Anolis sagrei: one gene and its partner. The protein of the gene in region 2 purifies or fractionates together with the protein of the main gene of each other region. This does not show direct contact. Links are inferred from orthologs where the notes say so. Each region holds a gene or a part of one and is shown on either strand. Other genes may lie near its edges.

Region 1 (7,238 bases), on a different chromosome or scaffold from region 2:
TACTATGATTGTTACTTCCTATTATTCTTCTTAATATGATTGTTACTTATTGTTATTATTAAGTTTATTAGTCTTGCTATGATTATTACTTCCCATTATTATTATTAGTATTATAAGTACTTATTGATTATTCTTACTACTATGATTGTTACTTTTTATTTGTTATTGTTTATTCTTCTTAATAGGATGGTGACTTCCCATTATTATTATTATTATTGTATTTTGACTAGGATGGTACCTCCCCCTTCTCCTTAATATATTAATATAGTAATAGCATTAATATATTCTTGTTAGGATGGTGACTTCCCATTATTCTTCTTACTAGAATTGTTACTTCCCATTATTATTATTATTATTTTCCATTATTGTTATTATTATTAATATACACTTGCTAGGATTGTTACATCCCATTATTATTATTATTATTATTTCCTATTATTATTACTTCCCATTATTATTATTATTATTATTATTATTATTACTTCCCATTAGTATTATTATTATTAGTAGCAGTAGTAGAATTAATATATTCTTGCTAGGATGGTGACTTCCCATTAATCTTCTTACTAGGACTGTTACATCCCATTATTATTATTATTACTTCCCATTACTATTACTTCCCATTATTATTATTATTATTATTATTATTATTATTATTAGCAGTAGCAGTAATATATTTTTGCTAGAATTCTGACTTCCCATTATTTTTCTTACTAGGATTGTTACTTGCCATTATTATTATGACTTATTATTATGTGTTATTGCTTATTCTTCTTGCTAGTGTAGTGACTTCCCATTATTATTATGACTTATTATTATTATGATGTGTTATTGCTTATTATTCTTGCTAGTGTGGTGACTTCCCATTATTATTGTTGTTGTTGTTGTTTTGATTGTATTGTGACTAGGCTGCTGGCTCCTCCTTCTCCTCCTCCTAATTATTCCTTCCCATTAGTATTAGTATTATCAGAATTATTATTATGATTTATTATTATGTGTTATTGCTTATTATTCTTGCTAGTGTGGTGACTTCCCATTATTATTGTTGTTGTTATGATTGTCTTGTGACTAGGCTGCTGGCTCCCCCCCCCCTCCTCCTAATTATTACTTCCCATTAGTATTAGTAGTATCAGAATTATTATGATGACTTATTATTATTATGTGTTATTGCTTATTATTCTTGCTAGTTATTGCTTATTATTCTTGCAGAGGCTGGATGGCCATCTGTCAGGGGTGATTTGAATGCAATATTCCTGCTTCTTGGCAGGGGGTTGGACTGGATGGCCCATGAGGTCTCTTCCAACTCTTTGATTCTATGATTCTATGATTCTAGTGTGGTGACTTCCCATTATTATTGTTGTTGTTGTTATGATTGTATTGTGACTAGGCTGCTGGCTCCCCCTCCTCCTCCTCCTAATTATTACTTCCCATTAGTATTAGTATTATCAGAATTATTATTATGACTGTATTGTGACTAGGCTGCTGGCTCCTCCTTCTCCTCCTCCTCCTCATTATTACTTCCCATTAGTATTAGTATGATCAGAATTATTATTATGACTTATTATTATGTGTTATTGCTTCTGATTCTTGGTAGAGTGGTGACTTCCCATTATTATTATTATTATTATGTGTTATTGCTTATTATTCTTGGTAGGGTAGTGACTTCCCATTATTATTATTATTATTATTGCTTATTATTCTTGCTAGCGTGGTGGCTTCCCATTATTATTATGACTTATTATTATTATTATTATTTGTTATTGCTTATTATTCTCGCTAGTGTGGTGGCTTCCCATTATTATTATGACTTATTATTATTATTATTTGTTATTGCTTATTATTCTTGCTAGTGTGGTGGCTTCCCATTATTATTATGACTTATTATTATTATTTGTTATTGCTTATTATTCTCGCTCGTGTGGTGGCTTCCCATTATTATTATGACTTATTATTATTATTTGTTATTGCTTATTATTCTCGCTCGTGTGGTGGCTTCCCATTATTATTATGACTTATTATTATTATTTGTTATTGCTTATTATTCTCGCTCGTGTGGTGGCTTCCCATTATTATTATGACTTATTATTATTATTTGTTATTGCTTATTATTCTCGCTCGTGTGGTGGCTTCCTATTATTATTATGACTTATTATTATTTGTTATTGCTTATTATTCTTGGTATTGTTGTTGTTGTTATGACTGTATGGTGACTAGGCTGCTGGCTCCCCCTTCTTCTCCTGCTCCTAATTATTCCTTCCCATTAGTATTAGTATTATCAGTATTATTGTTATGACTTATTATTATGACTTATTATTATTATTATGTGTTATTGCTTTTTCTTCTTGCTAGCGTGGTGACTTCTCATTATTGTTGTTGTTGTTATGATTGTCTTGTGTCTAGGCTGCTGGCTCCCCCTCCTCCTCCTCCTCTTTCCTGTGAGGGTTCCTCTCCCCCTTCTCCTGGTGCCCTACCTTCTTGACGGTGCGTGGGGCTTCGGTGACGGTGCCTCCGGGGCTGGGCAGGGCCTCTCCGAGCAGCCTCCCCCCGGGGTCTCCTCCGTCGGCGGCGCCCAGGCGGGACGAGGCCTGCGACGAGGAGGAGGCGGCGGTGGCCAGGGCGGAGGGCGCCTCGGTGGGGCTGCGCTGCTTCATGGCCGAGGCCTGGGGCGCCTTGGGGGCCGGGAGCGGGGCCGCGGGCTCGGCGGAGGGCGCCCCCGAAGCCGAGGCCACGCAAGGCCCACTGCTTCCCCCTCCTCCTCCTCCTCCGCCTCCTCCTCCTCCGAGCTCCTTCAGCTCCACGGCCGGCGGCGCTGCCACCCGCACCGACATCATCCTCGTCGTCGTCGTCCTCTCTGCTCCAGCACACTCCCTCGGCGACGGCTGCTCCTCGCCTCACACAGGCGCCTCAAGGGGGAGGAGACAGCACGCATGCGCGGATACCAAACCCCGCCCACACGCACCCGGGCGCCTCACGGGAAGCGGAGTCCTTGAACCAACGCTGGCAACGCAGCCCAGGCGAGGAAAGGACTCGCTTTCCCGGCAGGCACCGCGCGGGGAGCGTCGGATTGGTCGGGGGGCGTGGCTAAAGGGTGATCAGGATTCGCCTCAGAGCCTCCCCGGGGATAGTACGCATGCGCTAAGACATAACCCCGCCCATACAGACCCGGATGCCGGCACAAGGGCGTGGCTAAAGAATGATCAGGACACGCCTTAGGCACCTTAGGGATAGTACGCATGCGCGAAGACAAAGCCCCGCCCACAAGGACGCGGGTGAACGGCCCAGGGGCGTGGCTAAAGAATGAGCAGGACACGCCTTAGACGCCTCAGGGATGGTACGCATGCGCGCAGACAAAAACTCCGCCCACATGGACGCTGGTGAAAGGCCCAGGGGCGTGGCTAAAGAATGATCAGGACACGCCTTAGGCTCCTCAGGGATGGTACGCATGCGCATAAACAAAAACCCCGCCCACAAGGACGCGGATGAACGGCCCAGAGGCGTGGCTAAAGAATGATTAGGACACGCCTTAAGCGTCTCAGGGATTGTACGCATGCGCAAAGACAAAGCCCCGCCCATACGGACCCTGGTGTAGGGCCCAGGGGCGTGGCTAAAGAATGATCAGGACACGCCTTAGGCGCCTCAGGGATAGTACGCATGCGCAAAGATAAAGCCCCGCCCACACGGAGACGGATGTACCGCCCAGGGGCGTGGCTAAGGAATGAGCAGGACACGCCTTAGGCACACCATAGATTGTACGCATGCGCGTAGACAAAGCCCCGCCCACACAGACGCGGGTGAACGACCCAGGGGCGTGGCTAAAGAATCAGGACTCGCCTTAGGCGCTTCAGTAATTGTACGCATGCGCAAAGACAAAACCCCGCCCATACGGACCCGGATGCACGGCCCAGGGACGTGGCTATTATAATCAAAGCGAATAGTGGGCGTGGCCATGTTAATATCAAGCTCGCCTGAGTGTAGCACGCATGCGTGGAGAAAAAAACCCGCCCACATAGACCCGGATGGACGGCCCAGGGGCGTGGCTACAGTGTAATCAAAGCGTATAGTGGGCGTGGCTATATCAGTATCTGGTTCGGCTGAGGAATAGTACGCATGCGCGCGGCCAAACCCCGCCCACTCAGACCCGTAGCACGGCCTAGGGGCGTGACTAAAGAAGATTCCCGGCTTGCCGAAGTCTTAGGTATAGACAAAACCCCGCCCACATGGATAGTACGCATGCGCGAAGGCAAAATCCCCGCCCACACAGACCAAGATGTGAAAAGGTTACCTCAGAGTATTCTTCAGGATAGTGCGCATGCGCAGCAACTATGCCCCGCCCACGATGACCAAAGGCGTGGCCAAAAGTATGATTAGAGAATGCCTCACAGAGCCGCCTCAGGAATAGTACGCATGCGCGACACTAAAAGAGAGCTTCCTCTGGCTGTATAGCGCCATCTGCTGGGCAAACGAGGAAAAGCGAAATTGCAAGCCTATCTCCAGCGCCACCTGTCGGTAGACTCTTTGCTAGCAAGGAAAATCTTATTTGGGAATTTTAACCTTCATTTAACCTGTGATTGATGCACTTTGATAGTCTTGTGTTTTATCTCTCTGCTTTACAAAGTTGAGCCCTGCCTCAATTATTATTATTATTAGTCAATTAATTAATAACAATCATAGATTAGTCCTAATATTTTCCAGACTCCAGCTCCCAGAATCCCCCAACCAGCACAACTATGTCGGCTTGAACAACTCTGGCCAATGCAAACTATGGAAAAGTAACTTTCCCCTCCAGAGGAAAAAAGTGGAATATAAATAAACATAATAATCATAACCAACCACAATAATTACTTACTTCCTGGGAAGGAATCCCACTGGAGCATTGCAGCGCACCCACATACCTGGGAGTCACTCTGGACCGTGCTCTGACCTACAAGAAGCACTGCCTGAACATTAAGTGAAAAGTGGGTGCTAGAAACAATATCATACGAAAGCTGACTCGCACAACCTGGGAATCACAACCAGACACAGTGAAGACATCTGCCCTTGCGCTATGCTACTCTGCTGCTGAGTACGCATGCCCAGTGTGGAACACATCTCACCACGCTAAAACAATAGATGTGGCTCTTTTTTTAAAAAAATAAGTTTTTATTGAAATTTTGTGAATATACAAAGGGTTATGTACGGGGTAGGGAGGAAGGGAGTGGGGGGGGTGTGAAAGAGGGGGGGTGGTAAGGGGATGAGATTGGGGGGGGAGAGGGGAGGGGGGGTGAGGTTGGGGGGGGGAGTGTCCCGACTTCCCAAAAACCTTCCAGACATCTTCATCTCGTGTCTTTCTGTTTTCTTGCCAGTCGAATTTCTTTTAAAGTTCATGGTTTATATGCTAGACAGATCTATCGGCAATGGGATCTCCCTTGTTTGGATAAAGTCCTTGAATCCCAACCAGTTTGTTCTTTTATTTGTATCTTTCAATCTTTGCGAGAGACTGTCCATTTGAATAATATCTAAAACCTTTAGAGTCCAGTCGTCTAGGGTTGGTGTTTCTTGTAATTTCCAGACTCTTGCGAGGACTAGTCTTGCGGCAGTGCCCAGAAGAAAGAGTACCTTATCTTGGTTCTTGTCCATTTTTATATTTGTGATTCCCAGTAAGTATGTTTCGGGCACCTGCGGGAAGTTGATTTTCAAGATTTTTTGGGAGGCTTGGTGTACTTCCTTCCAGAATTTTTTAATCTTTTTGCATGCCCACCATTGGTGGAAATAAGTTCCAGTTTCCTTTCTACACTTCCAACATTTATCTGTTATAGTTTTATTGAATTTAGATAATTTTTCTGGTGTGTAGTGCCACCTATAGAACATCTTGTACCAGTTCTCACGTAGATCGCTGGCTTCAACATATTTTAATTTATGATTCCAAATTTCTTCCCATTCACTTAGCAATATGGTATGGCCCACATCTTTTGCCCATTTTATCTGACAGTTTTTAATCTGTTCCTCCTCTGTATCCCAGGCCAGCAACTGCTGGTAAAGTATCTTAATTAGTTTCTTCCGTTTGTTTAATATCTTCTCCCATACTCCCTGAGCCTGGTTAAAACCTATTTTTGCGTCTTCTTTATAATCTTGTTGTATTTGATAGTAGTTTAGCCATGATATATTTTTATTTATACTTTGAATTTCTACTAATGGTTTTAATATTAGGTTGCCCTCCGCATTTTTTGTCAGTAATTGTTGATATGTCATCCAGTTCTCCACTCCTAGCTCCCTTTTGTGTTTAGCCTCGACCGGCGACAGCCATAGTGGTGTTCCATTACAGAGTCTGGGTTTATATTTTTCCCATGTTTTCAGCAGTGCCGCTCTAATATAGTGGTCGCTGAAGCCCTTTTCCACTCTTCTCTTATTTTGCCAAAGATATCCGTGCCAGCCGGCCCTGATATCGTGGCCCTCTAATGCTAGGAGCTGAGTGTCTTCTAATGTGACCCATTCTTTTATGGCGACTAAATTACATGCCTCATAGTAGGCTTTAAAATTTGGAAGGCTCAGTCCCCCTCTTTTCTTGTCGTCTGTTAGTATTTTCATGCTGATTCTTGCCTTTTTGTTTTTCCAAATGAATTTAGAGAGATCTGAGTTCCATTTCTTAAATAAAAAGTCGCTTCTAATTACAGGGAGAGTTTGAAACAAGAATAGTGGTTGGGGGAGTATTATCATTTTCGCTAATGCAATGCGGCCTAATAGGGATATATTTTGGTATTTCCAATTGTCCATGTCCTTTTTTATTTTTTTCCAGAGTGGCTCGTAATTATTTTTAATTAGGGATACATTACTCTTCGTTATGTAGACTCCTAGATATTTTATTTTATTTTCTATTTTGATTCCCGCGATTTCTTGTAGTGTGGTTTTGGCCTTTTGGTCCATATTTTTTACCAGGAATTTTGTTTTTTGTCTATTTAATTTAAATCCGGCCAGGATTCCAAATTCTTCTATTTTTTCCAGCCAATTTTCAATGTTGTTTATTGGATCCTCCACTATGCATACTACATCATCTGCATATGCCCTCAATTTAAAGTGGTGTTTATAAATTTTCATACCTTTCAAATTTGAATCTCTATTTATGTTTCTAATCAACACGTCCAGAACTAATATAAAAAGGAGGGGGGACAGAGGACATCCCTGCCGTGTACCTTGTGTGATATTTATCGGCTTTTTAATTTCTTGATTATTTATTATAAGAGTTGCTTCCTGTCGCGTGTAGA
Region 2 (6,870 bases):
AGCAAACAAGGATAGCAAGAAATTGAAATAGATAAGTAGATTTTTTTTATTAAAAAAAACACAATGTTATCAAATAACATTTGTAGCTGAAATAAAGATCCTCAAGAATTAGGCCCTTTCTACACTTCCATATAAAATTCAGATTACCGGTATCTGCTTTGAACTGGATTATATGACAGTGTAGACTCAGATAGTCCAGTTCAAAGCAGAGAATGTGAATGATCTGCTTTGATAACATGAATTATATGGCTGCATATAAGGGGCTTTAAAAGACCAGGAAAGCTTTTATGGACTTCAGGGCCACTTCAGAAATGAAAAATGGCAAATGGCAGTTGTCACAGTATATTAATACTCATCTAAACCAGTTCAAAGCAGATAATCTGGATTCAAAAACTGGATTGTATGGCAGTGTAGACATGGCCTAAAATGGCAATGGGGATATTGTGGCTAGGGTCACCATCTATGATTGCTTCTGGTCATAGCAGCAGAGAGACAACAAAATCTGGAATACAACTTCTCCAAGTCCTTCCACACAGCCATATATCCCAGAATATCAAGGCAAAAATCCCACATTATCTGAGTGTGGACTCAGTTAACCCAGTTCAAAGCAGATATTGTGGGATTTTTTGCCTTGATAATCAGGGATATAAGGCTGTGTGGAAGGGCCCTGAGTCTACACCGCCATATAATCCAGTTCAATGTAGATTTTACATAGCTGTGTTCAAGTAGCCTCCATCTCTTCTCCAACATTTGTTATTGTGTGATCGCTACTATAACTCTCACCATTACCTTTCTTTCTCTACATGCTCCTTCTACACTGCCATATAAAATCTACATTATCTACTTTGAACTGGATTATATGGCAGTGTAGACTCATAAAATCCAGTTCAAAGCAGATAATCTGGATTCTATATGGCAGTGTAGATCCAGTCTGAGAAATCCCTTAAGTAGAATTTAGAAAGCTGAAATAATCCAGAATGAGTAGCTGAGACAGTGAAACCTTTGCTTTCCAATGGTTTTTATCTACACAAATTTTGTTTCAGGCTCAAGATATTAAAATACAAATAGTGTGTATAAAATTAACTTTAGGGTATTTGTGTACGAAACACAAATGAATATCATGTTTGGACTTGGGCCCCATCTCATTGAGATATCACATTATTTATGTATATTCAAATTAGAGCTATTCCAAAATACAAAATATGTCAAGTTCCAAGCGTTTTGGATAAGGGAAATGCTTGGAACTGTGCTTTAAAAACCTTAGACATGTTTTTTTACTCACAGCAACTCACTTAAACGTGTTATTATAATTTCCATTTATGCGCAATCTTAAAGAGAAGACACTTACATTTCGAGATCTGGACTCTTGTTTGTTTGCTTTAATAATCCTACAGGAGGAGATTATTTACAATTTGCAAATCGTTTCCCTACCTATTATCTAAAATCCCAAATACGACCGAATAACATTCATTTCGCTGTTGTTATTGAAAATATGAAATATGAAAAGGCTAAGAAATGAAAGAACATTGCTTTATTTAGAGCAGGCTTGGGCAAACTTGGGCCCTCCAGGTGTTTTGGACTTCAACTCCCACAATTCCTAACAGCCTACTGGCTGTTAGGAATTGTGGGAGTTGAAGTCCAAAACACCTGGAGGGCCCAAGTTTGCCAATGCCTTGTTTAGAGAGAGGGAAGTCATAAATAGAATTTTGAAACTTTCTAAAAACCAATGGAGGCCGTTAGGAAGCATCTCATCCATAAGGATGGGCTGGGCTAAGTGAAAAGGAGAAGGAATGCACTCTGTACATGCTCAGAAGCACCACTTTTCATCAAGTCATGAAAAGCATGTCACATTTCTAAAAGCAAATGGCTCGCTGTAGGAAACATCCCTCCAGTTTCCATAAGGAGCTGAGCTCCTAACCCAGCAAAGGAGAAAGGGTGCACTCTGTGCATGCTCAGAAGCACCACTTTTCATCAAGACGTGTTAATTTTCTAAAAGCAAATGGTTCACTCTAGGAAACATCTCTCCACTGTTTCCATAAAGAGCTAAGTAAGATCCCAACCCAGCAAAGGAGAAGGAATGCACTCTGTACATGCTCAGAAGCACTCTGTACATGCTCAGAAGCACTCTGTACATGCTCAGAAGCACCACTTTTCATCAAGTCATGTTAACTGTCTAAAAGTAAATGGTTCACTTTAGGAAACATCTCTCCACTGTTCCCATAAGGAGCTGAGTAAGCTCCTAACCCAGCTAAGCAGAAGGGATGCACTCTGTACATGCTCAGAAGCATTCTGTACATGCTCAAAAGCACCACTTTTCATCACGTCATGTTAATTTTCTAAACGCAAATGGCTTGCTCTAGGAAACATCTCTCCACTGTTTCCATAAAGAGCTAAGTAAGATTCTAACCCAGCAAGGGAGAAGGGATGCACTCTGTACATGCTCAGAAGCACCACTTTTCATCAAGTCATGTTAATTTTCTAAAAGCAGATGGTTCACTCTAGAATACAACTCTCCACTGTTCCCATAAGGAACTAAGTAAGTTCCTAACCCAGCAAGGGAGAAGGGATGCACTTTGTACATGCTTAGAAGCACTCTATACATGCTCAGAAGCACCACTTTTCATCAAGTCATGTTGATTTTCTAAAAGCAAATGGCTCGCTCTAGGAAACCCTCTCCACTGTTCCCATAAGGAGCTAAGTAAGATCCCAACCCAGCAAGAGAGAAGGTATGCACTCTGTACATGCTCAGAAACACCACTTTTCATCAAGTCATGTTAATTTTCTAAAAGCAAATGGTTCACATTAGGAAACATCTCCTGACCTCCTATCACTTCCTCTCAGTGAGCTCAAAGCTGGGAAATACACTCCAGATCTGGACAAACACAAGATGGGAAACATCTTCCTACCTGACAGACGACAGATCTCCAAGGAGCCCAACTCGGCAGCATGACTGACCCAGCAGCGGCCAGGCTGACACTGCAGGGCGGGAGGGACTACGGCTCCCAGCATGCATCGCGCGGGGAGGAGGAACTACGGCTCCCGGCATGCCTCGGGAAACATCCTAGTGCTGGCTGTGGACTACAGCGACCAGAATGCAACAGAGGCAGAGGCTGGAGGAGGAGCCACGCCCCTCACAGCACGTTTATAGGGATGGATTTAGAAAAGTGGGCAATAGGGACAGAGCCTGAGAGTTACTGCATAGGAATAAGGAGATATTCATATGAACTAGGAGGTAGATTTGACTACTGTTCTCAGGTAGGAGTAGTAAGATATAGATATGCAAATATGCAAACTGGATACTCATGAATTAATTGTTTTTAGTATTCCTCTGGCTGTATGTATGAGCTCTACACAGTGATAACAATTTCACTATAATGGAATTGGTAGTTCTATGAGAACAGGGATGTGTTGTTGCCCCAACAACACATCCCTTGTTTTCCATCTTCATCGTTATGATCCACATCATCTATTGGACAGATGGCAAGCTATTTAACCTAAGCAGACTGAATGCCAAAACCAAGGTCACAACATCTATTATAGAACTCCAATATGCTGATGATAATGCAAGTCATGCTCATTCAGAAGACCTACAAGCCACTCTAATCATCTTTGTGGAAGCATACAAAAAGCTTGGCCTCTCGTTGAACATTGAAAAAAACCAAAGTGTTCTTTCAGCAGTCACCAGTCAATCCATCTGCAATGCTAGAAATACAGCTTAATGTGTAATGTTACAAAATGTTGACCATTTCCTCTACATTGGCAGCCACCTCTCCAAAAATATCAACATTGACACTGAAATCTACTGTCTAACTGATGAGGCCAACTTCTATGTTCTCCACCTTTCTCTCTGGGCCCTTTCACACAACCCTATATCTCAGACTATCAAGGCAAAAAAATCCACATTATCTGAGTGTGGATTCAGATAACCCAGTTCAAAGCAGATATTGTGGGATTTTCTGCCTTGATATTCTGGGATATAGAGCTGTATGGAAGGGCCTTCAGTTTTGCTGTTAGGGATATTCAGTAAAGCATTCTGGGGGCAGCTGCTGTTTACCTTGCCCGTTGTGGGATAATACACATGGCATTGGAAAGATCGGATTTCTTTCCCAGTTAAAAGTCCCTATTTCTCCAATTCTATTTCAGAGCCCCCAGTAGCACAATGGGCTAGACCAGGGGTCCTCAAACTAAGGCTCGAGGGCCGGATGCGGCCCTCCAAGGTCATTTTCCCGGCCCTCACTCAGGGTCAACCTAAGTCTGAAATGACTTGAAAGCACACAACAACAACAACAACAGTCCTATCTCATCAGCCAAAAATAGGCCTACACTTCCCATTGAAATACTAATAAGTTTAAATTTATTTAAATTGTTTTTCATTTTAATTATTGTATTTTTAAAGTGTTTTTGCACTACAAATAAGATATGTGCAGTGTGCATAGGAATTCATTCATGTTTTTTTCAAATTATAATCCGGCTCTCCAACAGTTGGAGGGACTGTGACCTGGCCCTCTGTTTAAAAAGTTTGAGGACACCTGGTCCAAGCTCTGCAAGTGCAGCATTTTTCCATATGAACCAGAGAATGTTTGAGGATCAGGACATCCGCAGAGATACCAAGATGCTTGTTTATCAACAAGATACCAAGATGCTTGTTTATCAAGCTGTACCCGCCATGCGTTGCTGTGGGCAACCTTCCCTCCCTCTTTCTCTCCTCCTTTCTTTCTCTCCTTCCCTTTTTTTCTTTCCTTCTCTCCTTCCTTCTCTTCCTCTTCACTTCCCCCCTTTTCTTTCCCTTCCTCGTTCTCCCCTTTCTTCCTTCTGTACCTATTCTTGGACTGCAACTCCCAGCAGTCCTTCTGAATGGTCTACCTACCCAGAGGCGGCCCTAGGTAATTTTCAATGGTAAGCAAACAGTATTTTGCCCCCCCCCCCCAACCAATCATTGATATATATTTTCTGTTGATCGTGGGAGTTCTGTGTGCCATAGTTGGTTCAATTCCATCATTGGTGGAGTTCAGAATGCTCTTTGATTGTAGGTGAACTATACATCCCAGTAACTACACTTGCCGCACTTGCTCCCTTGCCTGGCCCGCTTTGGGTCCGGAGGTGTGCCTGAAGACCCCGGCGTGTGCAGCAAAAGTCACCTCTTCTCCTGACTTCCTCTTCAGCCATTGGGACCGAGAGAGAGAGAGAGAGAGAGAGACAGAGGTGGAGATGCCCACCTTTCCTGAAGGTAGGCGCAAAAACAAAGGAGGGAGCGGAGGTGGGAGATACCTCCAGCCAGAGGGGCTCTCTCTCTCTCTCTCTCTCTTTTGGTCCCATTGGCTGAAAAGAAAGTCAGGAGAAGAGGCGACTTTTGGTGCGCACACTGGGGTCTTCAGACACGCCTCCTGACCCGAAGTGGGCCAGGCGCGGCGGCTCAACCCCTTGGCCCACCCGCGGATTGGGGAGAGGAGAGGAGGCGGGTGGAGCTCTGGGGGATCAGGAAAGGGAGCCAGTCATGGGGAAGGGATCTAACATGGAGAACAATTGAGCACCGGCTCTGCTCGTGCACCCGGTGGCCGGGTGGAGCAGGAACGAGAGGGGCGAGGCGAGGCTCAAGGCCCCAGCCCCTTTAGGAAGAGGATCACCCGGCAGCGAGGCAAGAAAGCCGAGGCTCCCCCCGGACTGCTTAGGGCTGTTGTGAGCGGAGGGGGCGCTCCTCAAGTGGCGGTCGAGGGGCATTTACAGAGGCGCCTCTGCGCCCCTGGCAAAAAAATGTTCTGCGACCGCTTACTTCGCGTAATGGACGAGCCGCCCCTGTACCTACCTACCTACCTATCTCTATCTAATCCATTTATCTGGAAGATTGCTGGGAGTCCAGGAATAGGAAATTGGAAATATGCAGTGATTGGGATGTTCTCAAAGAAATCCAAGGAGAAGAAAGCTTCCATCTTGGAAGCAGTGCGTTTGAATCATCCTCCTCTCTTAAAGGACCTGGTCTAGGGGATTCTGGGAGCTGTAGTCCGGAAAAGAGTGTGGATATGCTATTGTGTGTTTTGTTTGCTGGGGGAGTCATTTTTGCGCATGTGTTGTAGTGTCTTTTTGGCTTTTGGGGGCTTTTAAAGTCCCTTTCTCTGTTTTTCAGTGTTTTTATGAGTGATGGTCACTCATTGACCTGATAGGCTTATTATGCCCAAATTTGGTGTCAATTTGTCCAGTGGTTTTTGAGTTATGTTAATCCCACAAACAAATATTACATTTTTATTTATATAGATTGTCCTCCCAAGCCTGTTATACACCTGAAAAATATGAACCATCTACAGACGTCACATTCAACTCCTGGAATGATTCCATTCGCATTATCATCGAAAAATCCTGCAAATCTCTTGGGAACACAGGCAGACAAATGTCAGCATGCTGGAAGAAGCAAAGACCACCAGAATTGAAGCAATGCTCCTACGCCATCAACTCCGCTGGACTGGCCACATTGTCCAACTACCTGATCACTGACTCCCAAAACAGTTACTCTACTCCCAACTCAAGAACGGAAAATGAAATGTTGGTGGGCAGGAAAAGAGATTTAAAGATGAGCTTAATGCCAGCTTTAAAAACTGTGGCTTAGACACCAAGACCTGGGAAACCCTGGCCCTTATATGTTCTAACTGGAGGTCAGCTGTTATCAGCAGTGCTATGGAATTTGAAGAGGCACAAATGGAGGGCGAACGGGAGAAATGTGCCAAGAGGAAGGTGCATCAATCCAACCACAGTCGGGACTGCCTTCCACCTGGAAACTGATGTCCTCACTGTGGAAGAACATGCAGATCAAGAATGGGGCTCTACAGTCACCTACGGACCCACCGCCAAGACACTATACTTGGAGGGACATCATACTCC

Evidence for each region.
Region 1: the proteins of JOSD2 (region 2) and AHCYL2 purify together in Homo sapiens (affinity purification with mass spectrometry; 3 studies listed by BioGRID and IntAct, counting the BioPlex papers as one, with this or other methods). This does not show direct contact. The link is inferred for Anolis sagrei from reciprocal best matches to the Homo sapiens genes JOSD2 and AHCYL2.

Annotation. Positions count from the first base shown.
Region 1 is NC_090025.1:195,488,465-195,495,702, forward strand, and holds the start of AHCYL2 (adenosylhomocysteinase 3), read right to left. Parts: upstream 3,024-7,238; 5' UTR 2,832-3,023; coding exon 2,472-2,831; intron 1-2,471. UniProt on the Homo sapiens protein: May regulate the electrogenic sodium/bicarbonate cotransporter SLC4A4 activity and Mg(2+)-sensitivity. On the contrary of its homolog AHCYL1, does not regulate ITPR1 sensitivity to inositol 1,4,5-trisphosphate.
Region 2 is NC_090026.1:27,143,177-27,150,046, forward strand, and holds the start of JOSD2 (josephin-2), read right to left. Parts: upstream 3,014-6,870; 5' UTR 2,907-3,013; intron 1-2,906. UniProt on the Homo sapiens protein: Cleaves 'Lys-63'-linked poly-ubiquitin chains, and with lesser efficiency 'Lys-48'-linked poly-ubiquitin chains (in vitro). May act as a deubiquitinating enzyme.